Lonchura striata: one gene and its partners. The protein of the gene in region 1 purifies or fractionates together with the protein of each later gene. This does not show direct contact. Links are inferred from orthologs where the notes say so. Each region holds a gene or a part of one and is shown in the gene's direction. Other genes may lie near its edges.

Evidence for each region. The genes of interacting proteins can lie anywhere in the genome.
Region 2: the proteins of YWHAE (region 1) and KIF1B purify together in Homo sapiens (affinity purification with mass spectrometry; 3 studies listed by BioGRID and IntAct, with this or other methods). This does not show direct contact. The link is inferred for Lonchura striata from reciprocal best matches to the Homo sapiens genes YWHAE and KIF1B.
Region 3: the proteins of YWHAE (region 1) and FRMD6 purify together in Homo sapiens (co-immunoprecipitation; 3 studies listed by BioGRID and IntAct, with this or other methods). This does not show direct contact. The link is inferred for Lonchura striata from reciprocal best matches to the Homo sapiens genes YWHAE and FRMD6.
Region 4: the proteins of YWHAE (region 1) and LMO7 purify together in Homo sapiens (affinity purification with mass spectrometry; 3 studies listed by BioGRID and IntAct, with this or other methods). This does not show direct contact. The link is inferred for Lonchura striata from reciprocal best matches to the Homo sapiens genes YWHAE and LMO7.

What each region holds. Positions count from the first base shown.
Region 1 is NC_134622.1:6,747,319-6,755,225, forward strand, and holds the start of YWHAE (14-3-3 protein epsilon), read left to right. Parts: upstream 1-4,381; 5' UTR 4,382-4,513; coding exon 4,514-4,577; intron 4,578-7,907. UniProt on the Homo sapiens protein: Adapter protein implicated in the regulation of a large spectrum of both general and specialized signaling pathways. Binds to a large number of partners, usually by recognition of a phosphoserine or phosphothreonine motif.
Region 2 is NC_134626.1:1,577,088-1,585,234, forward strand, and holds the start of KIF1B (kinesin-like protein KIF1B), read left to right. Parts: upstream 1-4,807; 5' UTR 4,808-5,030; intron 5,031-8,147. Other genes in the region: UBE4B (ubiquitin conjugation factor E4 B), read left to right, coding at 450-596, 913-971. UniProt on the Homo sapiens protein: Has a plus-end-directed microtubule motor activity and functions as a motor for transport of vesicles and organelles along microtubules.
Region 3 is NC_134608.1:2,452,793-2,460,383, forward strand, and holds the start of FRMD6 (FERM domain-containing protein 6), read left to right. Parts: upstream 1-4,251; 5' UTR 4,252-4,357; intron 4,358-6,475; 5' UTR 6,476-6,594; intron 6,595-7,591.
Region 4 is NC_134604.1:49,535,658-49,543,520, reverse strand, and holds the start of LMO7 (LIM domain only protein 7), read left to right. Parts: upstream 1-4,523; 5' UTR 4,524-4,617; coding exon 4,618-4,686; intron 4,687-7,863.

The sequences.
Region 1 (7,907 bases):
CTGATCTTGATATTCACTGTAACTGCGGGGGTTTGTTCAATAGCTGCACTCTAAATAATACACTTAATACTGAGTTTTTCAGTTGCCCATAATATGCTTATATTTTTCTTCAGGTATTGCAAAAGAAACCTAATAAACAGTGTCTCCTTAGAGTGACACTGTTTGAAGTATTTTTGCCAACTGCAGTTAATGAAAGCCCATGTATTTGTACCTTTCCAATCAGGAATTCATATACCAAAATATCAGTTAGTTTTATTATGCAAACCTTGCCTTTTTAATATGAAAGACATGAATTGAATTAACTAGCAAGTACCCTGCAAACTTTGTAGATGTGCTTTTGTTAAGACTGTATAAATTGTGAATATTTGTACACTTTGAAAGAGCAAAATAAAGAAACTAGAGGAGTCTTAATAGCTGCTGTTACAGTAGAATCCCAAGTTCTTGTTAAGCAGTTTTTTTAGCTGACTGATACATTAATGCAACTGTTTTCCACTCTTCAGTTCTAAGCTGAAATGTGATTTTGTTTCATAGGTGATAGAAAGGAGTATGAATTTGGACAAAATAGACATTTCAACTTGTCAGGCTCTTCAAGGCAAATAGGTAGAACCTATGTCCATGAACATATAGATGAAATCCTTTTGTGGCCTTTGTTTATCCTCATATTTGTTCCCTCCCTTCTCCCCAATGCGTGCAAAAAAATCATTGCTCAGAATGTTGGTCACAATCTTTTGTCTCTTCCTTGGCTGTGGTTTTGGTCTCTTGTGCATAGGCAGGTGTTAGAACTAGAATAATAATTTCTAGAAATACACCATGAAAGCAGAATGCTCAATTACACTGTGTTCTTCTGGTGCATTTACACATTATATCACACTAAAAATTACAACTGGCTGCTATGGTTTTTTAATATATATTTCATTTTGGTAAGCCCCAGCCTTTTTACTAATATATGACCTGGTTAAATCTTGTTAATCTGTTTGAATTGTATTTGTTAATAATGCAAATATTTCTAATCATCTTTAAGAGTAAAACACTTCCTTTTTGTTAATGGTTTTGGGGAAGGATTCTAACCAAACCTGTTTGAAGAAAAATATGAACATGTGACATTGTATTATAACACTATCCACTTTCTTGACAGTTAAAGTCCTTTTTTTATTTTTTGTAGCATGTAATGTATATGTTCATAGTACGTGAAGTAAATAAAAGTATAGCCAAAACTTTGACTCAGTCATTCTCAATCAGTTTTTGGAGTACTTGCATTTAATAATGAAAAATAGAGGGGGTATGGTCATTTTTAATTGGCCATGTTAGTATGAAAATAATTAAACGGCACTACAGAAGTAAGCCAAACCAAGGTAACTAAGTTAACTTATCAAACAATAAAATATGGCTTTTTTTTGAAAGATGGTGACTTTCTGTAATTAAATGAGTCTAGGTGTTGGGGGAAATGTATATTCTCATTTCAAAAAAAAATTGTGAGGAATGTTAAGATGAGATTTTGTAGCTCTTGATCTCAATTCTACCTGCACAAGTGTATCAGGGAATAACCTGGGGATTGTTTGGATGGGATGTTTGGGAAGATAAAAAGCTGTTTATATATTCTTAGAAATATCAGTGAAAACAAAATTACACAAATTAATACCATCAAGAATCTCCTGCAGGAGTCTACAAATGGTTCAGAAGAGCTGTTTTTATGTGTTGTGGTGTGAGAGCACTAATTCAGTGAAAAGCCGAGGTGTGCAGGTGCTGTCAAGGGCTGAAGGGCAGAAAATCAGGACCAGAATCCCATGGGGGGCACGTTTGTAACATCAATTGCATTAAAGCCACTTTTGCCACACTATTCCTTAAAAACTGCAAGGAGACAATGGCCCTTAGGCCCCAAGGATAAGAATTTCTGATGTGTCTCCACACAGTAAAGATTATTCTATCAGCTGCAGATGGAAAAAAACCTCTTCATTGGTGGAAGCCCCCAGCTTTGCTCCAGTGCTCAACCACTGCAGGGCTGCAATGCAAAGGTGCCTTTTAATGCATTAGCTGAGAGAATTTCAGAGCACCCTGCAGCCAAAAGGAAGAGGCTGTGCCTGCCCTTCCCCAGGGCCCTGCCAGCCATCCCCTCCTGCTTCACCTTGCCCTGGTGTTTGCAGTGCTCCCCTGAGCTGATGGAGCACAGGGCTCATGCAGAAAACTGCTTTTCCTTTTCCATTCCCTCTCCTTTGAACTGGGGTCTGGCTGCAGCAGTAGTTGAATGAATTAATGTGAAAGTTCAGGGGGCAAAGGGCAAGCAAGGATTGCATCAACAAATTGTGCTTTATTTCCTTGGATTAGGCTGTTTATTCCTCATGCTTTGCCAAATCCCTGACCAATTTCCAAATATCTGAATGCCATCTGTAACGAGTGCATTCAAAAGAATTCAAAGTATTTAGACAATATGCTATTATTTAGCAAGGGTACTAAGAATGCATCTCACTTCTGGCAATTAAATCTTCTTGAAGTGTCCTGATTTATTGATATTATTGAACTCCCTGCAACCTGAGTGCCTGCTGAACACAAGGAACACAGAAAAATTCCTAAATTGATCCAAATCTAATTTATTGTGCACAGCTCCCCAAGTTTCTGCTGAAAAATAGACTTCTATGGTCAATAGAGTACAGAAGTGATTTGTGAGTATTAAAAATTTACACAGAGATAGTGACTGTGCAGTACTGTGACCTTTTGAGTACCTAACTTTATATCATGTGTTTACCAGCAATTCAGAAGTAAAGGTTTACAATGATTCCCAATTTCAGAAAAATCAGCATTTTCTAATCTTACTTCGAATAAATCTAAAGAAGCAAATATTTTTCTGGACTTGACACCTAATTTTCACCTTAGTCCATGATGTCTTTGTTTTTAAGAAATCCTGATTAGATGATCCTGATCTGTGAAAAAGAGGGCCTAAGTATCCATTGAAAACAGAGTATTTATTTTCTGAGTAAGTGATATAAAAATAATTCTGTCACATGTTTAGATTTATTTGTAAGAAAAACATAAGGTTATGCTGATCTTGCAGACCCTAAAACTCTTGTTCATCAACTGAAAAAAAATAAGTCAGGCCAGCAATAAACTACTGAAAAAATGTGCTTTGAATGGTGTTCAAGGTGTGTGCCCTCAGTCACCCATCAGGAGCCCATTTCAGTGCACACAATACAATAAATGGGGATACCTGACTTTGTGTCCAGCAGGTGCCAGGGGCAGCTCTGTCTCTGCTGTCAAAACTTGCAGAGGTCTCTGTGCACTTCTCCCAGCAGTGAAATGATGGGAGAGCATCTGTAGTCTGCACTTCCAAGGAGACACTGGGGAAAGAGACAAGACTTCATTCATAGCTACCCTGAGCAAATCATAGAATCATGGAATGGTTTGGGTTGGAAGGGACATTAAAGCTCATTTCATTCAAATTCTTCTGCCATGCCATGAGACCAGGTTGCTCCAAGCCCCATCCAGCCTGGACTTGAACACTTGCAGGCATGGGGATCTTTGAAGATCAAGTTCATGCCAGCCATGCATAATCCCTTTTCTTTTTCTAAAACCATTCTAATTCCAGAAATTGAGGCATTATCTCAGTTATTTAAGTGAATGCTCCTTTTGTTTTTCAGAAGTACTGTGTGAGGAACTTGTGAAATTTGCTTTCTAGATTTCCTAGCCTCTTGAAACTGAAATTACCTCGTGCTATGCACTGGAGGTGATACTTAGAGCAAATACCCTGGAGAGGCTGTAGAAACCTGTATCTGTCCGTCTGCCTTTCGGTCACAGATCCACCCTTCCATGTGCAGCACACGCGGTGATTTGTACCCAGATTCCGAGAGAGGGTAACTCAAACAGCGCTGTCAGCGTCTGAGGGCAGCACAAACGCGGAGAGATGGAGCCGCCCTGAGGGAAACGCCACCGGCGGCCGGGCCCGCTGCCCATCGCCATGTCCCGGTCACGGCCCCGCCAGGGCCGGCGGGGGAACGGCGGATCCATCCCCGCCATTGCCGGGCCGCCTCATCCTTCACCCCGCGTTATTCCTCACCCGCCTCACCCCTCACACCGCTTCACCCACCCCGCCTCACACCGCCTCATCCACTCTGCCTCGCCCCTCACACCGCCTCACCCCTCCTCATCCCGCCTCACCCCTCACACCGCCTCATCACTCATCCCGTCTCATCCCGCTTTATCCCTCACACCGCCTCACCCCATTTATCCCTCACCCTCCTCACACCGCCTCACCCCCTTCATCCCTCACGCCGCCTCATTCCCTTTATCCCTCACACCCCTCACGCCGCCTCACCCCGCCCCCCGCCCGTTGCCAGGGAGCCGCCGTTGCCATGGGAGGCGGCGGGGCGCATGCGCGCGCCCGCGGGAGTGCCCGGATGCAGCGGGAGGAGGCGCTGCCGCCATATTTGCCCGGAGAGCAGCGAGCTGGTAGCTGCAGAGCCCCCCGGACCCATCGGCTGCCATCCGCCCCGCGCAGTCCCCGCCGCCGCCCCGCCCGTAGGACATGGACGATCGGGAGGACCTCGTCTATCAGGCCAAGTTGGCTGAGCAGGCTGAGCGCTACGATGGTGAGCGCGCTGGCTCCGGAGGCCGTGCACGGCCGAGGGGAGAGGGAGGGAGGGAGGGAGCGGCCACAAAATGGCGGCTGGGCGGGGGAGGGGGGCAGGGGCGGAGGAGGGGGCGCACACAAAATGGCGACGGGGAGCGCCCTGAGGGGCCGCTGGAAGCGGGGATGGGGGGCCCGGGCGAGGGGGTGTCTCGGGCCGGGGCGGGGCCCGGGGCGGGGGGCGGTGGCGGCAGGAGCCGGGAATAAAATGGCGGCCGCGAAGGGCGAGTCCTGGAGGGGGGGCAGGGGAGCCGCCCCCGCCTCGGGGGCTCCACAAAGAGACCCCGCTGTCCCTCACGGCGGTCCGGCCGGCCCCGGCCCCGCGCTGCCCCGGCCGGGCGGCGCCGGGCGAGGGCGGCTCGCCGCAGACAACGCCCATGCCGAGCGCTCCGGAGGGGGAGCCCGGCGCTCGGCCCCTCTCCGGCCGTGCTCCTGGGGGTCCCCGGGGACGGGGCTGCGCTTCTTTTTTGCCTCTACCCCCGCTGGAGATCCTGCTGCCCCTGGCAAACCCAGAGAGAGCGAGTTCTCACCCTGCAGGGAGCGAGTACATGATTCACTGCCTAAAGAAAACGCGTTCATTATGTGGTAGAAATTATTACAGGTAGTTTTACTTACCCAGCGTTTTCTTTTTATCCTTTTCCCACCCCTCTAAGTTTGTGTGCTATCCCTGATCATTTAATATCCGTGATGATTTAATATCTGGGGGAAAAGTGGTAGAGGGGAGGAACTGGCAACCCTGGGTGGTGTCTCTTGCCCCAAAAATGTCTGTCTTGCAACCTCTCTTTTTAAACATGGTTCCCCTGCATATAATAGAAAGGACCTTTAATTTTCTCGACTCTTCTGAGACTGTTACTTTGCCCTGAGAGCTGTGATTACTCATTTGAAGTGAAATAAATATATGTATATAGAATGTGTGAATGCAGTAACACCTCATTTAGAGAGGTAAGAAGACACTCCAAATGCTTTCTGTTCAAAAATTTTTGTAGACAACACGACCAAGTTCTCAACAAATGACACATTTTTACTGAGTTGTGCTTAAAAAACATCTGATGGCAAAAAACATCCGATGGCACCATTGCAGAACATCTGAAAAATACACGTTTTGGAGAGAAAAAGAGAAACTAAAACAAAAAGAAGGCCTAAATAAAACTCCATTCATTTAGAGCTCTGATGGGAAAATAGTTTAGAATTCATAGTACCACTAAAGGAAAGCAGTCAGGCAGTCTCTGCAATAACTGAAAGACTTGGAGAATGAAAATGCCTCCCAGAAACCAAGTATTGGGGTACCATAATTACCTTGTGCAGAGGGACACATGCATATTGCACAGAATGTGTGCAACTTCTGCTGAGGAGGGAAGGAAAGGTTCTCCACCTGGTATGAATGAGTCAGTGCCACTGAAAGTGTTGGCTTTGGTTTGAGTGGAAACCAAACATCCTGGAGGAATCATCATCCTTGGGAGCTCTTGAGGCATGACTGTCTTTCTGGGGTTTTCTGAAGTCAGCAGTAAATCATTTTGTTAGAAGGTAATAGGACTCTACCCTGTGGCACAGATCTGCAATGCAAACTTCCTGTCAGCTGATAAAAATTGATTGGGAAGGATTATTGCCTTGGTGCAGCGTTTCCCTGGGTTCTCCCAGTACCATGAATGTTGGCTAAACAAGCTGCCCAGAGCAAAATGTGGAAGACTTGTTGTGCTGTATTGTTTCTGAATGGGCATGATGCTTGTTACAACTTGAAGTTGTCTTGTTTAAATCAGTGCTGTGGGTTTTGGACTTCCAGAGGTTTTAAAAATCAGGTTGGGTCAACATAATTCTGCCAGCTGCTCTAAATGCATCTTCACTTCCCTCGTGTCCATGGCCTGGAAGAAAATGTACCGTAGATACTGTTTTATCATTTAATTTTCTGTTCCTGTTCAGCTGAAACAATTAAAAATGATTGGCATAATTTGTTCTTGTTAATGTGAAATAATGCAGTTCTGCCAAGATCATAGCTGAGACTGCTGAATAATTCTGTGAACAAAGTGATTTGAGAAGCAATATGAGGAAAGGGTAAGGTAATCCTAATTTTGCTCCTCAGTATGATCTTTGAGGTGCACAATTACAAGGCCAGAGTTACTGATGGGCACATATAAAATGGGGTGATGGTAAGTACTGGCTGCAGATACATTGGAATACAAGTCCCTTGGGTAATTAAAATATGAGTTTGACAAGTTTGACAATTTTTTTTGTGTTTAACATTAGGGTAAGTGTAAATTTCTGTCCCATCTTTCTCCTGGAGATTGGAAGAGTGGTGGGTTGCTATTTATGTATGGCTCATGGCATTTATAGCAGCACTTATGGTGGGCATCCAACTGTGGCTTCTTTGGTGTTACTTGCCTGACCCACTTAGGGAATTTCTGAAGTCTTGGGAGCTGCATTTGTGAACGGTTGGGAATCTAGTCCAGTGTCTGTACTGTCCTCAGGATGGTGGCCCAGATTAAGAGGACAACTTTCTAGGTACTTTTGCAGTGTAAGTAGCACTTAAACCCTGATCTCCAGAGATATATTAAGAGATTTGGGTGTCTGACTATGGTCACAGATCTGCTTAGGCATGTTATGGCAAATTACAAAATGCCAGGAAGCTTCCTGGTGGTGCAGGAAGCTTGTTGAGAAATCTTAACTCACTGCTATTCCTCACTGGTAGAGTAATTTATAACTAAATGGACTCCTTCTTGGAAAACAATTGGAGTAAATGATATTGTGGAGGTCTTGATATCAAGAGGATGTAGAGAACTGTGGAGTGCTGCTGAATACTGAAACCAATTCCTCTTTGTGGAAACTGGGAACATATTTGTTTCAGGTGAGAAACGTGCTAAGACTCAAGGCAGTCTGTGAGCAGGTACTTCCAACAGCTGCTTTATACTGCAAGTCTTCAAGTACATTACCTGAGTGAGGTGGAATAGGTGGGGTTCCCCCCTCAGAACCAGAGAATAGGTCAAGGTACAGGTAAGGAAAACACCCAGCCCACCCAGGACACGTCTGCCTCCAGCACAGCAGGCTAACAGCTGCCTTCTTTGTCTTTAGAAATTGTCTGTCAGGGAAATGTCTTTATCAGGAAGGTAGGAACATGTACAGCAGTGGGTTCAGTTCAGGATTTGAACCCTTTTTAGTAAGATCTGTCTCTTAGTAACAGATCTTCAGCTTAGAGCCTAATGAGGAATCAATAAGTCATGAATTAGAGTTCAGCTTGCATATTTTGGTTTGCAGAGGATTGGTCTCTTTCAAGCAGATGTCAAGCACACTTCAGTTTTTT
Region 2 (8,147 bases), on another chromosome or scaffold:
TCTTCTAAACCCTGCCTGTCTAGGAGAGAGGGATTTCATTTGTTGCAATGATTCCATATGCTACTAGAAACTATATATTGCTTTTCATAAAAACATCTTGCCTTGCATCTTGCTCTATTTCAATGACGTATTTAAGTAAATACAGAGCTAAGAGTTTTTTTAGTTTTCCCTGGGATTGTACTGTCCATGATTGTCCTAGCCATGCTTTGCTAACATGTACCTGAAAACAGTAACACCCCCCTACAACTGAAAATAGGGTGACAATAGGGAAAGCTTAGTCCCAGGTCAGAAAGGGGAAAGTGCTGTGAAGATTTATGTCCATTTAACCATTTTCTCTACCTTCAGCAGTGTACTGGGGACCCTGAGCACTGGTTTTGCAGTGTGGGTTGATGGGAGATAACATTTGTAGCTGTTTGCTCACTGTAATGAGGAGAGCCTTGTGCCCTCAGATCCACTGATGGACACTCTGATGACCGACCCCGTGCGGCTGCCCTCGGGCACCATCATGGACAGGTCAATCATCCTGAGGCACCTGCTGAACTCCTCCACGGATCCGTTCAACCGGCAGACGCTGACGGAGAATATGCTGGAACCAGGTACCGTGGGACAGCTGGCACGTGGGCTGGGGGCAGCAGCTCCTGGGCAGCTCTGTAATTCCATAGCACAGTGCTGAGGCCTCAGCAGAGGTGACACTTCTTTCATTTCAGCTTGCACAGAAAAGTTCATTCCCTCTCCTTTCCCTTTTTCCGGGGCAAAAAAACCCTCACAGCCTTGCTTTCTTAACTCCTGGGCTGAAATACATCATGGTATATAAATGGGAAAATGGCTATTAGTCATGAGGGACTTTCTTATAGTACTATTACCAAGTAATTTAATAATTCTTTTCTCTCTCTTTTTTTTTTTCCTTCCTAGTGCCAGAACTTAAAGAGCAAATCCAAGCCTGGATGAGAGACAAGCAGAATGACCATTAAAATTCCCTTGCAGTGCACACCACCACCAATGGGCAGAGCAGGGCGTGGGCTGCTCTGGCAGGAGTGCAGCAGACACACTTGGGAGCTGTTGATGGATTGGCATGCCCACGGCACTGGCTCGCAGTAGTGACCACAGGAGCATGTGGACGAGGAGGAAAGCAGCTTCATTCTTGTACATATATTTAAGTGATAACGATGGTCAATAACATGGAGGACAAGCTAGGAAGTTACTTATGTTACAAAACTGTCCTCCAATATGTCACATTTTGGAGTTTTTACAGCTGAATTATTTTAGCAAAGACAAATGGATCAGGGCAGCATCCCTTCAACCTTGTTTTTTACCGCCAGATATCCGTTAATTTGATTGTGGTTAGAACCTTGGACATTTTGCTGCTAAAGTAACTTTTTTCTTTCCCTTCCTTTCTTTCTGTTCCACCCATCAAACCTGCACTGCTGTCTTTTCCTTCTGTAATGCAAAAAAACATAAACCCTGTGAAAATCAAAATCATTCCCCTGCCCTAAAAAGAACATATTTTGTGCGATAACTGTGCCTGCAACAAAGTGTTCATCTTGGGATCGTATTTTTATATTACACATATTTGCCTATTTGGTTTTTAATTGGTGTTAGACACAAGGATAATTTCAAAAGAGCGAAGACTTCACGCGTGGATTTTAATTTACTTTCCTTGAGATGTCCCTTTCCTTTATGTTGATCAAGATGCTCTGGTACTTGTGAAAAGCCTTGAGATAGAAATGTGTTAAAACAGCTGCCATGAATGAGATGCTTGGGAATACCAGGATTTCAGTGACTTTAAAAAAATAAAATACATTCTTTCAATGCTGCAGATCAATGCTAACTGACAGTTCTGAGCCATTGGAGCTTGTCCACAGAGAGCAGATACCTTTATCCCTGGAGGCTGCAGTTTGAGGCAGGGGTCATTTTTTATGTTGCGTACCAATTTGTATCCATGGCTTGGCCTTACCAAAGCAGAAAGGGTGCAGGAAATGTAGAATTACGTTTTTAAAAAAAATAAAAAAATATTCACAAACATTTTTATATTACTGCCCCCTGCATATGATACTTGAATTTCCTTTTTAAAAAGGATTTGAAACCACAGTGTTTTAAAATTAAGTTGGAAAAAAAAGGTTGTTTTTCTTTTATTTGTTTTTCGCCATGTCTTCTGTTCAATTCCTGACTCTCTTGAACTACAATAAATGATACACACTCGCACAGGATGTTTCCTTCGTCTTTCTTGTAAGAGTGTTGGTGAAAATATAAAAATTAGAAATGATTGGGTGTCTTTGTTCAGGTTTGCTGATAGTGATTTAGGATCTGGAGATAACTTAGTAAATTATGTGGAAAATTTCTGTGCACACAGATACCAGTAATCCTTTACATTCAAGAATGTTCCCAAGCAGGTGCCACTGAGCACCTATTCATAGCTCCGTGACAGCTGGTGACAGCTCCAAGGGAAATTCTGGTTAGTTTGTATAGAATCCAGCATTGACCTTTTAGGTGTGCAAATAACTCTAAATTATAAAATGTGAAGGTACAGTTGTGAGTTGTATCTTTTGTTTGTTTGTGGGTTTTTCAGTGGTACTTCCTCTTACATCATGAATGTGTATTTCTCTATAAGGATGGGAGAAGATTCCAAAGCTTCTGTCTGCATCCACTGCTGCAACAGAGAAGCTTGTTTGTTGGTTTGATAATTATAACCTTCACTTCTTCCACAAATTCCAATCCCCCTCTTCTTTCTCTTCAGTAAGTTCCAGATCAAAACCTGCTCTGCTTTTACCTGCAGGCTCCCAGTCAAGCACCCAAACCCAGCAGAGATTCTGATGTGTTACAGGTTGTGCTGTGTGTTTTCTTCTTTAGTGAAGAGGCAATTTCATTCTATATAAAAGAAAAACTTACATATTCAACTGTCCCTTCGTTATTGAGGATTTTTGTAAGAAATCTCTAGGAATATCCCAGAGTTTATACTTTTTTTTTATGAAGGACAGCTGTTCTGTAGTGAATATGTGTTTTTACTAGAAGATGATTAAACTGGCTTCACCTTATGGGTTTTTTCTGCAAGTGCGTATCATATCTTGCTTCTATTGATAGATTATAAAGTGAAAATTTTATAGTTTTGGGTTTTGCCAGGAGGAAGTAGACATATTCACATTTGGTGTGGGATGTTTTAATCAACACAATGCCCTTTAGAATCTGAATTTATATTTATTGTGCCATTGTGTCAGACTCTGACCTGAGGAATATAAATAGCAAAGTGCATTACTGAAATGCTTTGTCTAATTATGGCATACATCTATCATTTGAAAACATGTCAGTGCAGATATTGCACAAAGGCTTGTGCAATATCTTATCAGACACAAAGGCATGATATAAGTGGCCAAAACAATTTGATCTGGGAAACGAGCATCAAGTATTTCAAAGGTGTGAGCTCAGACAAGTGTTCTCCCAAATTCTGCAACTGTGAGCAGAATAATGAAATGTATTTTAATACAAGCTGCTGAAGTGCCATTCTATTGTGAATCAAACCCCTGTCTTTCAGTGGGTAGTGGACATTTGAGTGACTGAAAAGCAATGCTGAAGCTGGATTAAAAATCAATTTCCCACAAAAGCATATCGGTTGTGTGACGATTCTTAGTTCAGTTAATTAAATGCTACCTGCAGTTTTTGGTGATTTCCCTTCCCCTCACTACTATGTCATTTACCTTTTTCAATCCAACTATAATACAGAGTTTATATGAGAGACCACAGAAACTGCAATACAGAGTTCATATGAGACATCACAGAAACTGCCAGTGGAGGGATTTACGTTTGACCACGTCCGTGTGTGTGCAGAATGTCAGTGTCTCTGAGCTGGGAATGGTTTACCCCAGCAAAGGCTAACTCATACTGCGTTACAAAGTGAGCTTTCCTTGGAATTTACTGTGGATCGCCGCTCTCTCCTTGTCCTGCAGCTCTACGCTAGAGACTGGAGAAGTTCCTGGGGCAAGCGCTGATGCTGTAGAAACACAATTCAGGACAATTGATTCTATTGTATCACGATTTATCCTTGTAATGGCCCAACTGACATATCTCAGTTCTCCCTGCCGGCAGCTGTTAACAGCAGCATGCCAGGCAGGTTAATTTAATAATTTGCCCAAAATACATTATGAGGTCTAAAAAAATGACTCGGGCTGCTCAAGAACCGTTTTGAAGGGAGGGAGGAAAGATTACTAATCCCTTCCCTCTGAGCTATCGCCCTTAGGCCTAGTTTAGGATCCAATCCCACTGAATACACGGAGTGGGGAGCTGGGGAATTCGCTACCTCAGACCCCGCGTTCCCACAGCGAGAGCGCACCGGCGGTGTCCGGGCATTTCATCCCGTTTGCCCGCACACTGGCGGTGTCCCAGCCCATTTTATCCCGCTAATCCTTATACCCCGCGGTGTCCCGGCCGATTTTATCCCTTTACCCGCACCCTGGCGGTGTCCCGGCCGGTTTTATCCCTTCACCCTGACACTCCCTCCTGGACCCGCCTCCCCTCACGGCTCGGGGCGCGCACGGACACAGCGCGGCGGGCGGTGCTGCGGCCCCTCTCCCGATAGGCTCCGAGGGCGCAGCCGTGATTTGCATAGCGGGTTCCGATTGGCTGGAGCTGCGCGGCGGAGGGCTCTGTTCGGAGGGCGGTGCCGCTGCGGCCGGGCACCGCCAGGCGGCGCCGGCGGCGCGGCCGGCTGTGATTGACAGGGCGGGGGCGGGCACACGCGGGCTCCGCGGAGCGCCATTGGCGGGCCGCGCCGAGGGGGCGGGGCGGCGCGCGGCGATTGGCGGAGCGGGCGCGCTCCCCCGCGGGGCGGGCGCTCCCCCCGCGCTCGGCAGTGCGGGAGCGGCGCTGGGCGAGCGCGGCGCCCGTTCCTCCCGGCGCGGCCTCGCTCTCCTCCTCCCCTTCCCGCTCCGTTCCCGGCCGCGGGGGGGTCTCCAGGCCTCGGTGGAGGCGGCGATGGGGATGGCCGGGTTTTTGTCGCTGCGCTGCCCCGCCGGCTGCTGACGCCGCACCGCCCGCGCCAGGTGAGGGGCTGCGCTGAGGGGCCTCTGCGCTGGCGGGGCCGGAGCGGGGCTGGTGCCGTAATGCGGAGGGGGAGGCGGCGATGCCGCCGTGCGCATCTGTGGGGCCCCGCGGAGGGCTGAGGCCGGGAGCGGGGGGGATGGACGGACGGATGGATGGGTAGACAGACGGAGGGATGGATGGATGCTTAGCGCTGGGTGCTCTGGAGCTGTCAGGGCAGCGGCGCAAGGGCGTGGGGCCCCGCTCGGCCTTGCCATCTGCCCGGTGCCATCTCCTCGTCCCCCGGGACGCTTCCCTCCCTTCCCTTCCCTTTCTTCCTTCCCTTCGTCTCCCTCCTTCCTTTTTCCCCGGGCGGCTCCTCGTGGGCTGGCTGCCGCCCGCCGCGCTCCCTTGGCTCGGATGGGCGGAGGCGGCGGCGCCGCTCGGGAGGGGCGCGCCCCGCGGGGCGGTGCGGGAGCGGCGCTCGGGGGCCCGGCCCGGCCCGGCACGGCACGGCACGGCACGGCACGGGCAGCCATGTTGGCACGATGAGCCGGCAATCCCCGTGCCCGGGCCGGGCCCGGCGCTCGGGGCCGCCGCCGCAGCGGGGCCATCGCCTGCGCTGGAGGATTCGCCAGAAGCAGATGGTGAACTTATGTCTGCTTTCTGGAATGTAAATGCGTTCATACCAAATTCTAAATTCTAGACGGGATTTCTCTTCGCTTCCAGCTCCTTCGGAGCTCAGTTCTTTTTGCTGTTGCACAATCCGCTGTTGGTAAATAGCCATGTGTGCATGTGATCAGGTTTCAGTGCCTCGCCAAGGTCTGCAGCGCTGTTCGATCTGGCATCTCCACCTGGTCCCGATATAGCAGAGCGTGTGTGTGAGTTCAGCTGGGGGATCATCATCACACTGTCAGCACTGCCCGAGCTTCATGCGGCACCTAAAATTGGCTCTGCTGGGGCCCCTTGGTCAGATACGCCTGCTGCCCCAAACAGCTGTTTTGCCAACTTTCCGTGTGCTAATCTCTGTCCTTGTTTTATTTCTTTAGAGCTCTTGCACTGATTAAGTTACAAGCCATTTTTTTGTTTCAAAGTTAGCACATTTTGTGATTGCAGATATGACACAGTTATCTGGTATATGATTAGTTCTCTTAAATAAAAGTGATTCTTTATTTATGATACCTGGTGGGTTTGGGTGGTTTTTTTTTTTTTGTTGAATGCAGTAATACAGATTTTGAATGTTGTTTTGTAACCACTTTGAGCTTGTTGCAGACTTCTCTGCATGTATAAATAATAATTTGAATCTAAATCCCTGCTCTGCTTGGAACTTTACTTAAATAAATAGCAATGTGTTCGTATTTTGACATTGCATAAAAACTGGTTTGCCAAAACTTTAAGATACATCCAAGTATTTCAAGTCTTAATGTTTATTCAGATATTTTTGTGAAAGCCCAGATCTAGTTGAGCCTGTGAAGGATGATTCATCAACACAATTGGGTTTGTCAGCTTGAATACCAATAAACACGAGATATTTTGATTATTTCTCTTAATGACACCTTTTAATATTAAAACCTCACCGTATGACTTACAGGATGGGTGTCTTTAGTTTCAAATAGTTGAAAAACTAGGATGTAGGATTTACTATTTGCTGATGAAGCTCACTAAACAACTCAAATGTCATCTACCACCTGTTTTGGAGCCATTGGTAGATCACCTCAAAGGCACACACGCAGTTCCCTTCTTGGTTCATGGCTGGATTCATGCAGACTGAACATTAAAAGAGACACAGCTAGTAGATTCCTTCCAAGACATTAGGGAGATGATTCATTCTAGCATGGATGGCAGCTTTCTAAGCCTCTAATGAACATTTTAAAAAATTGTCTTTTAAGAATATTGTTCTTCTAAATCTGTACCACAAACTGTATTGCACATTTTGCTTTTCTCTTTTCAAGTTATGTTTCCACTCTGTAGTCAGCGTTTTGTAGTAGGAAGTGGTACTACTGGTAAATGTGATCCCTGAAAAACCAGTTGCAGTTTATTATCTGTAATGCTGTGTAACTTGGGGCTCATTTTGCTTTATTTTACCATTCTGTGTGATGAGGGCAGTGCTACCTTTATAAATTGCTATGACCAGTTAAGATAACTGGTAAGTGAAAAAAACCTTCAAAACCCCAACAGCTTAAATGTATGGAAAGCTTGGCAAATTATGTTTGTTTTGGTCAATTTTCTTAATAAATTGCACAGTGAATTGATATTCAGAACATCTGAAATCCATGTGCAAATACGAGTAGGTGTTTTGCTTACTTCAGCTATGAAAAATAGCAGAGTTGAGAACAAAAGAGATTTTAAATGATACCACATTTGATTTTCCGTCAGCACAAAAGTTAGGGTTGGGAAAAATTGGTAACTGCAGAAGTCCAGCAGGTAGATTTTGATGTTGCAGATGATTTTGTGATCTGTTCTGTGAGAATCTCTTCACAGTTGAGTTTCAAACAAGTCTGTCATTTAGCCTAGTGCATATGGAGTCTCTGGAAATGTGACTTGCAGGCTTTCTTATTATGAATATTATGTTTAGAGATACTTGAGAACATAAATATATATATAAATATATATACATCATATATATATATATATATATATATATATATATATATAAATATATAAGTAGATGATTTCTTTCATCCCACTCTATATGTGAGCTTCCCAGATATATCTGCAGAAACTAATGCAGTGTTCTGAGAGTTGTTTTTATGAAAACATCAGAAAAAATTCTGTGTGGGACTCCACAGTAAGAAGGGAGGACAAACCCCCTGCATTTCATAAACAATATTGTAGAACACATTGGACAAATTAAATTGTGTCACTGTGAACTTGACAGAAATGGCCGTTTTGCACCTGACAGATTGTTAAATAGGGTTTCATAAACAGGGCTCAGCGTGGCCATGTACAGTGACATTGCTGTTCCTAGCAGCAGCCTTCAGGGTCGGTTGAATAATAGCTGTGGGATGTGTCGGGATTATCTTGTCACTTGGCTGTGGGGTGAGGGCTCAGGGACTTGTGCAAGGGGAGGGAGGAAGAGCCACAGCCACTGGCTGGGTTCTGGGGTGGAAGTTTATAAAGGACTGGGTGTTTGAGACTTT
Region 3 (7,591 bases), on another chromosome or scaffold:
GAGAAATGAGGGTGGATTTAGGAATGGGGCTGTGGGAAGACCATAGAAAATCCCTGCCCACCTCAGCCTGAATTTTCCAATATTTTGGGGACAAACCCCAGCTTGGTGGCCCGGGCTGGGTGAGGAGCTGGGGGGGTTGGTTTGGGGGTGATCCCGCCTTTCCCTCCGGCCATCCCGAGGAATTTCCCGGGCTCCAGTCGCATCCCTGCTGCTGCTGAGGAGGATGCTGGGCTGGGGGAGCTGGAAATACCTGGGGCTAGATGAGCAGAACGCCCCGGATCAGCTCTTCCCTGCCGGATGCACAGCTGGATTTCCTTGATCGTTCCAACACTTGGGGATTCAGGCTGGATTTTCTCCTTTTCCAGCCTCACTGGGTTTAAATCTCAAGCAGCTCCTTTTTATTTTCATCCTTGCCGGCTTCCCAGCAAAGGCTGGGCATGGTAAATACAGAGGGGGATTTTTGGGGGCTAGTTAAATGTAGCAGCATCCTCCCTCGGCTAAAATCGGATGGAAACAGCTCCCCTGGGAGCATCCCCTGAATTCCCAGGGGGCCAAGGGTGGTTTGGCTTTGCCCAAATTCCAGAATGCTCAAGGAGCCATCCTGCTCTCCACCTGGCTCCTGAGCTGGGGTGTCCCCAGGCCACTCCCAGGGATGCTCCCCCTTCCCCAGCACCATCCAGGGCTGGCTCCTGCACGCTGGGCATCGGTTTTCCCAAATTTCAGCTGGGATGGATGGAGCTGGAGCTGGGGCAAAACCCCTGAGGAGGGGTCCCAATGTGTGCTCAGGCTTTTCATGATTGATTGCTATTATTAATTTTATTATTAACTAATCAGCTCAGGCGTATTAATTCTACGCTCAGACTTTTCATGATTGATTATTATTATTAATTTTATTATTAACTAATCAGCTCAGGCGTATTAATTCTATCACATTCAAACCAAATTGAAGCTGAGGTGAGATCTCTATGAATTGGGTATTTGAGATCTCTATGAATTGGGTATTTATGGCCAAAAATCAGGAGGAATTCTCCGAAAAAGCCCAGGAAAAGCTGGAGAGGGTCCCTCCAGCCTGTGCTGGGGGGAACAGGGACTCGCCCAGCCCAGCCTGGGTAGGGAGGGAGGGAAAGCTTCCTTGGAAATCCCCGTGAAATGCAGGAATGGGAGTGAGGTCCAGCTCCTCTCTGGAGTTTATAGCAACGCTCCGGCTGTTGTGGCTCCGCGCCGAGGATTCTTTATTTAATTTCTTCCCCTTATGGGCTGAGAAACCTTCCCAGCCCCAGCACAGCCCGCTCACAGTAGCTGGGATTTGTTTTCCTCTCTTGTCCAGGGAGGAATTTCTAAATCCCAGCTGCAGCCAGAGCTGGAATATGCTGAGTTGGAAGGGGCCCATCGGGATCGTTGTGATGCGGTGCCAGGTGTCACCGAGCAGCGGTGACACCCCTGTCCCCAAATGCACCCCACAAGGCTTGTGGCCAGCGCCGAAATCCCTGTGCTGCTGCTCCAGGGTAAATTTTCCTAGCAGGACATCCCAAAAATCCCTAGAAACGGGTGCTGGGCACTGACAGCAGCAATCCTGGGCTGGCACAACTGATGCATCAGCCTTTGGGAAGGGAATGGGATGCAGAGATGTGTTTAGTTGTTATTTTGTTGCTTTTGGAATAATTTTTGTGCCTGAACAAAATGCGAGGGACGCTGTGAGATAAGAGAGCTCCCACGTCTCCGTGGCCGTCCCTGCCAGTGACAATGCCAGCATTGAAATCCTGGGATGGGAAACACTCGCCTGGTGATATGCAGGATCACAGTGAGCTGCTGCTGCTTCCTGTCCTTTCCATCTAAAACACATCCAGCATGAGAGAAATCCGTGTATTTTATGGGAATGATATTTTCAGTCATAACCACACCACCTTTATATTTTTGGGGGTTTTTTTAAAATTTTTTTTAATCTTTTAAATTATTATTATTTAGGCCTAGAGATGCAAAAAAAATATTATTATTATTTAGGGGCTGGAGATAGGCCTAGAGATGCAAAAAATCACCCAAAAAAACAAAACAAAACAAAAAAAAACAAAAACAAAAAAAACCCCACCCCAAAATAAAAAAAAAAACCACAAAACCAAAAAACAAACCCACCCCAAAATAATTCACATTTTTTTTTCCCATTTCCCATCTATGGTTCCACTCTTGGGATCTTTGAGGGAGATGAATTCCAGGATTGCGAGAGAAATGTCACTTTTGGGACTCTTGGGGTTTTTTCCTCTCGCAGGAGAGGAGAGGCAGAGCGGACCCTGGCTGAGCTCCATCTTTCCGAGCTCTCCCCACGCTGCAGCCTGGGATGGCTTTTCCTGGACCTTCTCCCCCGGCCCCGGGAGCATCTCCCGTTCCAAGGAGCCGGGATTTTTTCCTCCCCCCGGCTCTGGAGCGGCGTCGCGCCCGCGCCATCCACGTCGGTGTTTATACATCGCCTCGCTGGCATCCCAGAGCTCTTCCTGCTGCTTTATTTAGCCTCTGCGGCAAGGCAGGCGCTGGGTTCCTGCATCCCTGTGCTCCACAGGCCTCGGCATGGCGCTGGGATGTGCTCAGCAGGACCCACTGGTCCTCCTCAGCACCGCAGCAACGGGGCCGGGTCCCGCTTGGGCCGCCCCACAACCCGAAAAATGATTTGTGGCTTCGGAGAAATCGGCCAAAGGGAGGCTTTGCTTGGCTGTCCCCCGTGTTCGCTGCAGGGTGGGTGTTTCCAGAGGGAGTTTTTTGGGGGAAAAAATGGCATTTCTGGCTGGAATGACAGGCTCTGCTTGGACAGGATGCTCTCCGTGCCCTTGGCAGTGGCACCAGTGGCTTTGCAAGGACTCGAGCAGGAGCTGTGGGGTAGAAAGCCTCTCCCAATTCCAGCTGGCATGGACAGGGGGATGAGAGGGAGCCCAAACCCGAGGGATACCCAGCCCCAGCTCTGCAGAAAGCCAGGTTGTTTTTTGCCATGGGGAGAGCGGCGTGTTGGATTCCCAGCGCCGGTGCCGTGCGCTCCCATAATGTAATTACCCAGCAGGATCTGCTGAGCTGCAAACAGATTTCAGCAAGGAGTGTCAGGGTGTTCACAGCAGAGCTGCTCTTTATTTAGGGCTGGGAACAAGCGGCTCCTCTCTCCCAGAGGCTCGGAGAGACTGCGGGGGCCGAGGCGGCCTCGCAGGTCAGCCCGAGAAACGCCTTTAGACAGTTAAAAGTGAGGAATAAATAACTCCTCCAAAAACAATCTCGCCAGATGGCACTTCTGAAGGAGGAGATGCTTTGCTGCTAATTTATGGTGCTGCTGCTGTTGCTATTCCGGGCCTGGGGTCACCTATGGAGAGGGATCCGTGCGTGCATCAGCCCCAAAGGGTGGCCAGGCCTCACACGAGCGAGCCCCACTCACCTTCATCCAGCTGCTTGTGGGGGATTTAATGGGAATGGGGTTTAATTCTGCTCCTGCCTCAACCTGAATCTTAAGAACTGGGATTCTCCGATGTCCAAGGGCTGGGGATACTGGGATGGGTGTGGGGTTCCCCTACACAAGAGAGTTGGGACCCCCCCAGAGGACATTCGAGTCCCTTCCCTGGGAGATCCTTGAATCCCAGGGTTGTTTGGATTAGAAGAGACCTTAAAAAACATCTTGTTCCAACCCCTGCCATGGCAGGGACACCTTCCACTGCCCCTGGGTGATCCCAGCCCTGTCCAACCTGGCCTTGGACACTTCCAGGGATCCAGGGGCAGCCACAGCTGCTCTGGGCACCCTGTGCCAGGGCCTCCCCACCCTCCCAGGGAAGGATTTCTTCCCAATATCCCATCTATCCCTGCCCTGTGACAGTGGGAAACCATTCCTTGTATCTAAACTCCTTCTCCAGTTCTCTTGGAGCCCCACTGGAAGGGGCTGTGAGGTCAATCCAACCCCCAGCTCTCCCAGCCCTCCAGAGCAGAGATTCCCAACCCCCGGAGCATCCCCAGCCGGTCTCCTCTGCAGGATGCTCCGCTCCGCTCCCGGGCACCTTCGGGCGGCTCCATCCCGCAGGGACGGAGCCCGTGTGCCCTCCCAGGGGACGCGATGCTCAGGCTCTTCCCCGAGCCTCCTCCGGGGCCAGCACTCGTCTCTCCCGGCCGGGGCCACCCCTCTCCCGACCCCTTCCCCGCTGTCCCGGGCACGGCGCCGGGGCGGGAGGCGGCGCCGGTGCCGCTCGGGGCGGTGCGGGGCGGCCCGGGAAGGGGCGGGGGCGGCGGGATGGGCTGGGCCGGGCTGGGCTGGGCACGGCTCGGCTCGGCACGGCGGGGTTCGGCACGGCTCGGCGCGGCTCGGCACGGCTCGGCACGCAGCGCGCTCCCGCAGCCGCAGGTAGGTGCGTGCCCGGCGCCCCGCACCGCGCTCCCGGCTCGGCTCAGCCCGCCTGCGCTCAGCCCGGTCCCGCTCCGTTCCGCTCGCCCCGGCTCGGCCCGGCCCGGCTCGGCTCGCCCCCGCGGGGCCGTGCCGCGGGTGGGCCCGGCGCGGCCGCTTGTTGCGCTCGGGGGGCGAGTTGGAGCCGGAGCGCTGCGAGCGGCCCCGGCTGCAGGAATGCGAGTCATTTCCTCCGCCCGCCCGCCCGCGGGAGCTGCGGCTCCGCCGGAACCCCCCACGGCCCCCACGGCCCCCACGGCCCCCACGGCCCCCACGGCCGCGACACGGCCACGGCCACCCCGGAGCCGCTCCGGCGCTGGGCGCGCTCCAGGGGCGCGCTCGCCCACGGGACCCCTCGCCCCTGGGTCTGAGCCGCCCACGGATCTCCTTGCCCGCTGGGTCACATCGCCCACGGGTCTCGCTCACCCTTAGGACCCTTTTCCGTGGGTGGCGCTCACCCACAGGTCCCCTCGCCCACGGGACGCGTTGCTTTCAGGTCGCACTCACCCGCAGCTCCTCTCAGCTGTGGGTCACCGTCACCCACGGGTGCCCTCATTCCTGGGTCACGGTTGCCCCGTTGGTCCCCTTGTCTCTGGGTTACACTCGCCCACGGGTCACTTCACCCGTGACACCCTTGACACTCACCCCCAGGTCCCCTCGCCCATGGGTCCCCTCATTCCTGGTTCACGGGTGCCCATGGGTCCCTTTGTCCCTGGGTCACAGGTGCCCGTGGGTCCCCTCATTCCTGGTTCACGGGTGCCCATGGGTCCCTTTGTCCCTGGGTCACAGGTGCCCGTGGGTCCCTTTGTCCCTGGGTCACACTTGCCCATGGGTCCCCTCATTCCTGGTTCATGGGTGCCCATGGGTCCCTTTGTCCCTGGGTCACACTTGCCCATGGGTCCCCTCATTCCTGGTTCACGGGTGCCCATGGGTCCTTTTGTCCCTGGGTCACAGGTGCCCATGGGTCCCTTTGTCCCTGGGTCACACTTGCCCATGGGTCCCCTCATTCCTGGTTCACGGGTGCCCATGGGTCCCTTTGTCCCTGGGTCACACTTGCCCATGGGTCCCCTCATTCCTGGTTCACGGGTGCCCATGGGTCCCTTTGTCCCTGGGTCACACTTGCCCATGGGTCCCCTCATTCCTGGTTCACGGGTGCCCATGGGTCCCTTTGTCCCTGGGTCACACTTGCCCATGGGTCCCCTCATTCCTGGTTCACGGGTGCCCATGGGTCCCTTTGTCCCTGGGTCACACTTGCCCATGGGTCCCCTCATTCCTGGTTCACGGGTGCCCGTGGGTCCCTTTGTCCCTGGGTCACACTTGTCCGTGGGTCCTCTCTCGCCCTGGGTCTCACCCACAGGCCCCCTTGTCCCTGGGCCACACTCACCCCACTGGGTCCCCTCACCCGTGGGTCACACACTCCATTGGGTCCCCTCACCCGTGGGTCCTCTGTGCCTGTGCCAGCTCTTTTCTGTGCCTCGTGGTGACCCACAGGTCCCCTCAGCCGTGGTTCCCATCTCTTGGTTCCCACAGCTGTGATCCTCTCATCCATGGATCCTCCTGGGTCACAGCCACCTCTGGGACCCTGTTATCACCGGGCTCCCCTCACCCTTGGGTGCCCCCCACCCCGTGGACGTGCTCTAGGTGCCAGCTGCTCGCTGGTGGTGTCACCCTTGGCCCTCTCCACCAGGAATGCGTATCCCTGCCACGTTCTGGCAGCAGCCAGGATAAATCCATGCAGTCCTAAGCCGGGCTTTATCTGACCCGGTGCCCTGGGGGCAGTGGGGAGATGGGGCTGAGCTTTCCCAGCACCATCCTCGGTGTTCCTGTGTCCTTTGACTGGCCCGTGGGAGTGAGGCACATCCCAACCCTGCCCTGCCCCTGGCCCCCTGCCACCTTCCTGCCATCTCCCATTCCCGAATCCTCCTCTCCCTGCTCCTCTCCCAGTGCCTTTCTGGCCATCAGGATGTTTCTCCCTCTCAGCCAAACTCTGCTTTTTCCAGAGGTGCTTCCGCGTGGCACCGATGGAGCTTTGCTGCTCTGCCTAATTCTGGGCTGCTTTGTGTTGGTGTTTTTCCACAGGGCTCGCTCTCCCTCTCCGAATCTTGGATAGAGCTGGGATTAATTCGAGCTCTCTTGCCTGAAAGAGATGTTCCGTTTAAAATTCCCAATCCCGAAGGCATATTGGAGTTTGGTTCTAGGTACTGGATTTTTTACTATCGGTTTTTAAATGGGTTTCTTTTCTTTTAAACTGGGTTTAGTCAGGCTCTTTAAACCCCGAGTCTGTAAGCAATTATTCCATTACATGAAAGTCAGGACGCTGAGAAAGATTAATTCAGACCAGATGTAAAAATAAATGTGAATTTGAAATTAAGATGATGTCAGTTCCCTCCTGCTAAAAAAAAAACCCGGCAGCCTTTGGACTCCAGATGGAGTATACAAACCATGGCGCTGGTTAAAATATCTGCCTGCTCCTTAATTGAGTTTTATGCTGTTTTTTTTCCCTCCCCCTTGACTGAAAAGTGGGCTTAGGATATTTTTCCCAAAAAGCTTTCCCCGATTGCGGCCGGGGCAGGGAAGTTGATGGAGGCTGTGGCGTGGCTGAGGAGCTTTCCCAGCTGGAAAACTGGAGAGCGGCGCTGCTGAGGGAAGACAAATCTCCCTCTGCCTGCCCCAGGATTAAAAAAATCAGGAACTTGGTTTGGCTTTGTTTTGCTGGATTTGGAGCTGGAGGCGAGGACGGGTCCCTGCCACAGAGGGCAGCAGGAGCTCCGGATAGTCCAGGCATGGGTTTGAATTTTTGGCATAAAACGGAGCTGGTTTTTGGGTTCTTGTGTGTCTGCAGAGCACTTTGCATCCCATTTTTCCCCCCTCTGTGTGCAGCAAGCACTGCACATTCCCCAGAGCGGGAATGGGTTTGGAGCCTGTGAGCGGGATATCGGGAATGGGGCTCCCCAGAAGTGCCTCCTACTGGGAAGGAAGGGTTTGCCCAGGGTCAGAGCATCTTGGGGATGTGTTGTTGTAGAAAATAACGTAAACATTTGTCATTGCATATTATTAATATTAATATTTACGTGGCATTATTAATTATTTAATATTATATTGTTAATTAAATTGAAAATACGGCTTTAATTTCTAAACAGGGAGCTCCGTGGTCTGGAGACTCAGGGCTGTGCTTTCTGTGCTGCAGGGATTTGG
Region 4 (7,863 bases), on another chromosome or scaffold:
TTTCTATAAGTGAGCTGGTTGGAAAACCAAAGGAGAATAATAACATTAATGAGCTTCTATTTTTGAAGCTTTTGCTTTTTCACCCCAATAAAATGTAGTATCGTTAAGACTTCGTTTATGTTGCCATGCTCATTAGTGAAGCCCTGAAACTTGCTTTTAAAAAAAAAATCAGAGGCTTTAGTAACCAAACCATCTGTGTTGTCTTCTAGCTAATATCATCAAATAAAGGTTGTCACCACTGAATTGGGATATTGCATATTTTAAGCAAATGGTGACTTGGAGGACTGCCTCTCAAGTAAGCCGTAGTTCATCTAGCTAAGGCCCTTTAAGGATAGAGGACAGGGTGAAGAAGGAGAGGACGTGCAGTTCAAAGCTGTTAAACAAGTTACATCAATTGTCTGCTCTAGGGAAATAGTCTCATCGTTTATGATCTTCAGTGTTCAGAACATTTCAGTGGGTTTAAGTAATAAATGGGTGTCTTTCCTTTTGTGCAGCTGTTTACTGCAAAATCCCTTCAGAAATGGAGCTCGTTGTTGGGTACACGGACTGCCTAGACAAATTCAGGACAAAGATAATAAGGTTAGAATAGTAAATTTGGGGTGGGAATTTCTGTAGTCGTGCTGAAAAATACATCTTGAATCTTACGTAAAAACCTATAAATAAGAATTCTTCATAGTTTGACAATATTTTAGTTTTGCTTAGCATCTACATAGCCTTCAAATCAGTTGTTCTGCAAGGTAAGGTTTCCTTTTATTTGCAGTGTTAATTTCTGGTTTATTAATATGTAAGATGGTACATTTTAATGAGCACTCTTTGAGATGCCAAAGGAAGAGCAATGCACTAGTTTTCGTGCTGAACTGTATCTACTCACTGCATGGTCTCTTGGTAGAAACTGTGAAAGGCTGCACTGCAGAAATTCATGTCACCCAACATATACAGTGTAACAGCCTTCCGGAGCTTGTGAGACCATGGCACAGGCCTTGGCACTGTCTCAAGTAGCACAGGAAGTAAAGGGATCTACAAGCTGCTGGAATATCTCTGTCATTGACATAACCTGTATAACACGGATAAAAAAGTGAGGTATGAACACTTGGCTGACTTGTAAAGTCAAGCAAGGTCCTACTTAGAGGCTGATAAACCCTGCAGACTCCATGGTGCTTTTGGCTCTGTGACGCCCCAATGTCTGCATCATCGCCTGAGCTGTACAATCTCTTGCTTATTAGCTCAAGCTCTGTGGGAAAATAACACTGTATTTTCTACCTTGTGCAGCCCTGCCAGAGCCTCAACAGCTTTGTGTGGAGGAGCATGGCTTGGCCACGAGCACGCAGTGTCAGGAAATCCCTCTTCAGCCTCTGCAGTCTGGGCCACCTGTATACAGCATCTTATGGAAGTGGTGTGTGTAGGAGTGAGGTGATGCATGCTCCACACTTACATTAATTTTAGCTGAGCGGAGCTGGTGTGCTATTAAGCACTCAGGATTGTTCAAGGTCTTTTAGGTACATTGGTGCAAGTTTTCCTATGTTATTTACAGACATTTTTTTAAGAAATCATAATTTAGTAACCAGTACAATGCCCTTTCCTTTCAATCATGGCTGCATGATTCAGTTAAGAGAAGAAGAAAGTTGTTTTCTGATAGTGAAATGTATGTTTTGGAAAATAAAGAGACTTAACAGCCCACACTTAACAAAATAAATATGGTCTTTCCTTAAAGAAAGAAGCCTGCCTTGGTAGAAAATATTATTGTGTCAAATATGTGTAGAACTCTCCTTGGAAAGAATATGACGTAAGCTGTTGCTTGAATTATCCCTAGGAGCACACACATTGAAAGGGTTTATTTTTGTCAAGTAGAACAATATTACATTTGCTACTTTTGACAGCAACAATTAGCAGTCATATCTGATATATGTAATCTTTCTCTGATCTAGGACTCTGGTGACTTACATTGTTAGCACAAAGGAATAATAAAACTATTTTGGTTGCTTAGGCTTACATAGATATTTTATCTGTGACAGTTGATTTAAAATTCACTTTGAGGATGAGATTTACATGTTGGAGCTTTTTTTACTTAGTGAGGAACTTAGACTTGAAAGTTGCTGTGATCCATGCAGTCTACTTAAGCACTTAATCAAATTACATGATAACTCAAATTACTTGAATTACTTGATATAAAACATTAAACGCTTCATTTGTAAGAAAGGTGATTTGATTTGTTACAAAGTGAAATAAAGCAAGCAGAAATAAGTGAGAAATGTGATTTTTTTAACATTACCTCTTTTGAAGCCTATTTTATAGAATTCTTAGTTACTTTCTCCTACTTAGGGAGCACTGTACTCTTAGATGAAGTGAAAGTCCTTAAAATCTGGAGAAAGGCTGCTGTAGTTCTCCAGAAAAATGTTTGGTAACCTCAGGTAATGCAAATTGATGTCAGCCAGCAGCAGCAGCTGATACATATTTTATTTAGACATTTTAAACCTTTGTAATCATGGATGTTAAATAGTGAGATGAGAGGGTTGTTTTCTGATGTTCAGGCTTCCCACTGAAGAAAAATGCAGATTCTTCATTTGTATTTGGTCTTGTGGCTGATCTGGCTTGGAACAGGAAAAAAGGGTAAGAAAAAACCCCTCAAAATTACAGCTTTCATATTATTCCTTGCTGGCTCCATAGCATAGATGTCTCAAATCATACCATGGTGAGGAGCTAACTACATAACTTCTATACATTTGTAACTTTAATAAATGTCAGATATCTCCCATGGAACTTATTTCAGCCAGTCACTGTGTTTTCCCTCCTGAGTCTACCACCTGATTTTCATACACCGTAGAAATTGATGGCTCATAGCTTCTTGACTTGTTGACCTCCTAAATTTCTCCTCCCTATTCTGAGGTTTTCTGTAACAAAAGATGTGTCCCCAAGTCAACATCTCAGGAGAAGTGAATTTGTGTGTAGTACAAAAGCTTTAAGTTATCTTTTCTCAGTAGTACTTTAAAAATTACATATGTTCTGCCATGGGCTATAAAAGCAAAACGTGTGCAGTGACTGAGTTTTACTTACAGAGAAGATATGGAAAGAAAAAATACTACAAAAAGTGCAAGCAGGAAAAGATAATAGAATCATGAAGGCTGGGAAACACCTTTAAGATCATTGAGTGCAATGTTAAACTAACATTGCCATATTCACCACTAAACCATGTCCCCAAGTACCACATCCACGTATTTTGAACACTTCCAGGGATGGTGATTCCCTTACATCCCTGGGCAGCTTGTGCCATGTTTGCATTGAAGAAATTTATCCTTCTATCCAATCTAAACCTCCTTAACTTGAGGCCATTTCCTCTTGTCCTGTTGCTTGTTACCTGGGAGAAGAGATTGAGCTCCACCTCACCACAGCCTCCTTTCAGGTAGGAGTAGAGAGCTTAAATACAATGTCAAAATGAAATCTAGTCAAAAAAATCCCACATAAACCAAAGCCAAAGCACAACAACTTATTGCTGGAGATTAGTATTACAGGAAACGACACTTTACCCTGATACTTAAATTTTTCTGCTTAGCACTTGTCCGCCCCTGCATTGGAAGAAAGGATTTTACTGTGTTCGTCCAGCAAACATCTCCCTCCTGCCCCCCGTGCTTCTGTCAGGGCGGCTGAGCCTTTGCTGCAGCACAGCGTGATCCCAACCTGCCCCACGTTTGTGGTCACCGCAGTGGGCAGAGCCCAGCGCAGCTCTCACCCAGGCCCACGGTCGAGCGGTACTTAGACCGGGCTTTAGCTCTGAGCCTGGGATAGCGTCTGGGGTGGACGAGTCGCAAAAAACCTGCTGCAGTGAGCGGGGCACAGGGACACGAATGAGCCAGAGCAATGGGCGCTAGTGTGAGTAGTGTGAGCTAAACCAGAGTTGAGGCCAGCGGGACTGGGGAGGGAAGCATGAAAGCCGAGCCGCGTGGCTCCAGCTCAGCCGGGGCACCTCCGCCTCGGTCGCTCTGTACGAAAAGCGCCCGAAACAAAGCGTGGGTCTCATGTTTTCCGCAGGCTCCCAACTTCGTCCCCAGACGGGACAGCGCTGCAGAGTGTGGAGCCGCTTCCCCGGGATCGCGGCGCTGCCTATGGCCGGCCGGGGAAGCCCCATCGGTGCGGAGGCGAGGGAGGCGGCCCGGGCTCCCGCGGCCCCGCCGGAGGGAGGGAGGGCGGCGGCGGCACGCTGGGCAGTCCCGGCCGGGCGGGGCGGCAGGTGGCGGGGGCCGGGCGGCGGGACCGGCCCTGAAAGGTGCGATTGTCCCCAGCTATTCCTGGTATGCGCCGGGGCGGGAGCCCCGGGGGCGGCCTCCCCCGGCCGGGAGCGCGAGGGGCGCCGCGTCCCGGCGGGAGGGAGCCGCCACCGCCGCCGCGGGGCGCGGCCCCTCCCGGGCGTGCGGTGCGGCTGCCCCGGGGGTCCCGGCGCTGCCGCACGGCCCGCGGCTCTTCGGATTCCTGCGAGCTCCCGGGAGGGGGAGTTCCGCGGGGAGGAGGCGGAGGGGGAGGAGACGGCGCGGGCAGCGTTAAAAGGAGGCAGCTGAATGACAGCGGCCGCTGCCGCGCCCCCGCCCCGCCAAGCGCCGGCCGCCCCCCGCTCGCTCGCTGCTGGCCATGGACGGGAGAGAGGACGCGGAGTGCGACTTGCAGGCGGCGTTCGCCGAAGCCCGGCGGTGGGTGGAGGTGAGGTGTCTCTCGGTGCTGCTGGGTGCCAGCCCCGCGTTCCCCCGGTCCCTGCCCGGGGCAGGGGTCCCGCCACAGCCTCCGCACGGCGGAGCGCGCTGCGCGCTCCCGCGGGGCTGCCCCGCCGTCCGGCAGCAGCTCCCGGGACGCGGCCCCAGACCTGGACTCTTCGTCGGCAGCTGCGGACTGCTATTTTTGGAAAGTATCGTGGCAACTTGCAGAAATCTGTGCAGTATCGCCACCGCCCCCTCCTCGCAATCCAAATTAAAGGCTGGCTTGGTTGCCCTCCTGTCGTTAAGGCTTGTAATTTCTTGCCATCTTGTAAATGACTTCTGTAGCGCTTGCTCCGAGACAGTCTGAATTAAAGGCACTCCTTCCTGTCTCGAAAGAGTTCAGGACAGAGAGTAACCTGAAATTAACACTCATTTTCTTCTCTCCTATTTTGAAACATGATTGTCTGACATAGCGCTTGACGTAAATATCCGTGTTTCTGTATGATTACCCGAGTCACACCGGTGCGCTACGTGCTAAAGCGTGGGGAGAGGGTTGTTCCTGGATGTACCTGAGTTTTGACCAGGGCAGCATCGGCTGAGCGAGGAGGCTGATGACTTGGAAGCTGAGAAATGTTTGCAATATTGAACAGCCTCCCTTAGAGTCGTGTGCTTTTAAAGAGGAGTTTTGGAGCGCTGATTTAGATGTATTTTAACATATTAAGCTTATTTCTTTGTGCCTAGTCACTTAAGATGAAATTTAGTGTTGTTACAACCACTATCACAATAACTTTGGAAGGAGGAAATATTAAAAAAAGGATGTTTGTTACTTTTTACCCCTCATCTTTACAAGCTTGTCAAGACCCGAGTTCAGGTTTCTTTGTTTCCTCTGTAAAACAATGACATCTAGTGCTTAAAATCTATTGAGAATGTTGAACTGAGAGCACCAAAGGCAGGGGTATCATAAATGACCTCCACAAGTGTCATTTTCGTGTCCTCTGTGAATGTAGGTAATTACAACAGTCCTGGCTTCCCCATGTGTCAGTGTTGTAAGTTTTGTAAGAGTTAGCTGTAAGTTTAAGCAATTAAACCATTCCTCACTCATGCATACCTTTCTTGCATTGGTTTCTTTAAATTGTCAAAGCTTATTTTAAAAAGCTTCATTACAGTGATTTAATGTTGTCTTTGAAAATCCTATTTTAAGGGGTTGGGGATTTGTTTCAATTATTTTTTGAGTTCATATGATACTGGCTGGTTGTACCATTCCTACAAAAGGTTTTGTGTCTTTGCCTGCCAGTAGCATGTGGGAGCTCTAGCAAAGAAATGTGAGTATGTAGTGTGCACTGTTTATGTAGGGGAAAAAACATATGCTCGGCTTCCCCCTTGCCCAGTCTAATTTGTGTGGCTCTCCTTTGATATGTGAAAGCTGTTCTCATTTTAAAGTAACTTTTAAACTTACCCCTTAAAGGAACAATTTACTGTAAAGCAAGTAACTTGCAAACCTTAAGGTATTGACAAACAGGATGCTCGGAATTCCATAATGTTAAAGGAAGATGTAAATATTTATTTCCTTATGAAATGAGGTTTGTGTTTCAGAAGAACTGTTGTGTTTCTCTGCTCTTTAGATCCAGATGGCTTTAAAATCCAAGTCTGACCATTTCCGTAGTTGTATGATATTTTTAGGGTAATGAGGCATGTCCCAAGGTTTTGTGAGTCTTGGTGGAAAAAGTGGTGTATACATGATAGTGAAACTTGGTGAGTCCTAATGATTAGTTTTGAAGATGAGGCAGTTTTTAAATATTTACAAACTTGAACTTCTGATGTTTTGGTAAGGTTTTGTGTACCAGCTTCTCCCTAACATTAGAGATGAAAGCATACAGACACTAGCTACTATGTATTTAAAGGAACAAGCCAAAATAGCTTTGTAAACTGTTACTCTTTCCCTTTGCTAATGAAAGCTTTGTTAACATATTTCTGTATTTCAATGGAGAATTTTATGGACTCTGAGACTTAAAAAAACCCCTCCAGCCTTGAAGCTGAGTGCTTTTTAGTAACTGGAATGAGCAGCTGTATTTGTCAGATCCCAAGAGGAGTAAAAAATATCCCAAAACCATGAAAAAATATTGCCCTATATTTTTTTGAATTTTTTTGTGAGAGAAAACTGTGTCCTGGTCAGGTTCCTTTTCTACCTGTTCCCATCTGAATTCTCAGTGCTGTAGGGCAGCCACTGGCTCATGGGAGCTCAAATATTCATTCTTAGTTCTTATGCTAACAAAGAAAACAAAGCAAACCAATAATTAAAAAAAAACAAAAAAAACAAAACAAAAAACACAACAACCCAAAACTAATTAATCCCCAAACCCCCCACTCCCAACAATCCAAACCTCCAAACAACTTAAACCAAAAAAGTGCAAGAGCTTGATTAAGAATAATAACAATAGAAAATTGCATCTGATATCTGATGTTACTTAAAGGAAGACTTTGTTCTTTAATTCAGGTTCATGTTGAGGCATATTTTATGATAATGCAGACAAAGAATGTCTGTAGTCTTCACAGTGCAAAGACCTCTTAAAGTGTGGTCCTCAGGCTCTCCTGTTTCATGTGTTGGGAGCTGGGAGGGAATGTTGCTTGTTAAAAGAGTTGGAGTCACTGGGGGAGCTGCCTGTTGAGGATGTCTACTTCTTTGGGGGAAGGAATGGTCATTTTATGTACAAAACTCAAGCTCTTCTCAGGTGTCCTTTCTGCAGAAGCCAGCACTGTTTAGTGGTGTTGGCTTCTTGCATCTGAGACTTTTGGCACTTTCTGAGCTCTGCCTGGAGCAAGTGGTGCTGATCAAGCTCACCCAGCCTTCATTTGGCACCTTAGCTGGACAGATGGTGCATGCTGAGAGTAAAACACTGGACTACCATGACTTGGCAATAGTTTGTCAAAGAAGGAGAGACCAAGGAGAGACTTCATCACAATCTACAACTTCCTTATATGGGGAAAGAGAGGGCAGGCACTGATTTCTCCTAGTGATTAGTGATGGGACTCCAGAGAATAGCGTGAAGTTGTGTCAGGAAGGTTTAGGCTGGATATCAGGAGAAGGTTTTTCACCCAAAGGTGGTTGGATACTGGAACAGGCTCCCCGGGGAAGTAGCACCAAGCTTGGCAGAGTTCAAGAAATGTTGGGACAATATTCTCAGGC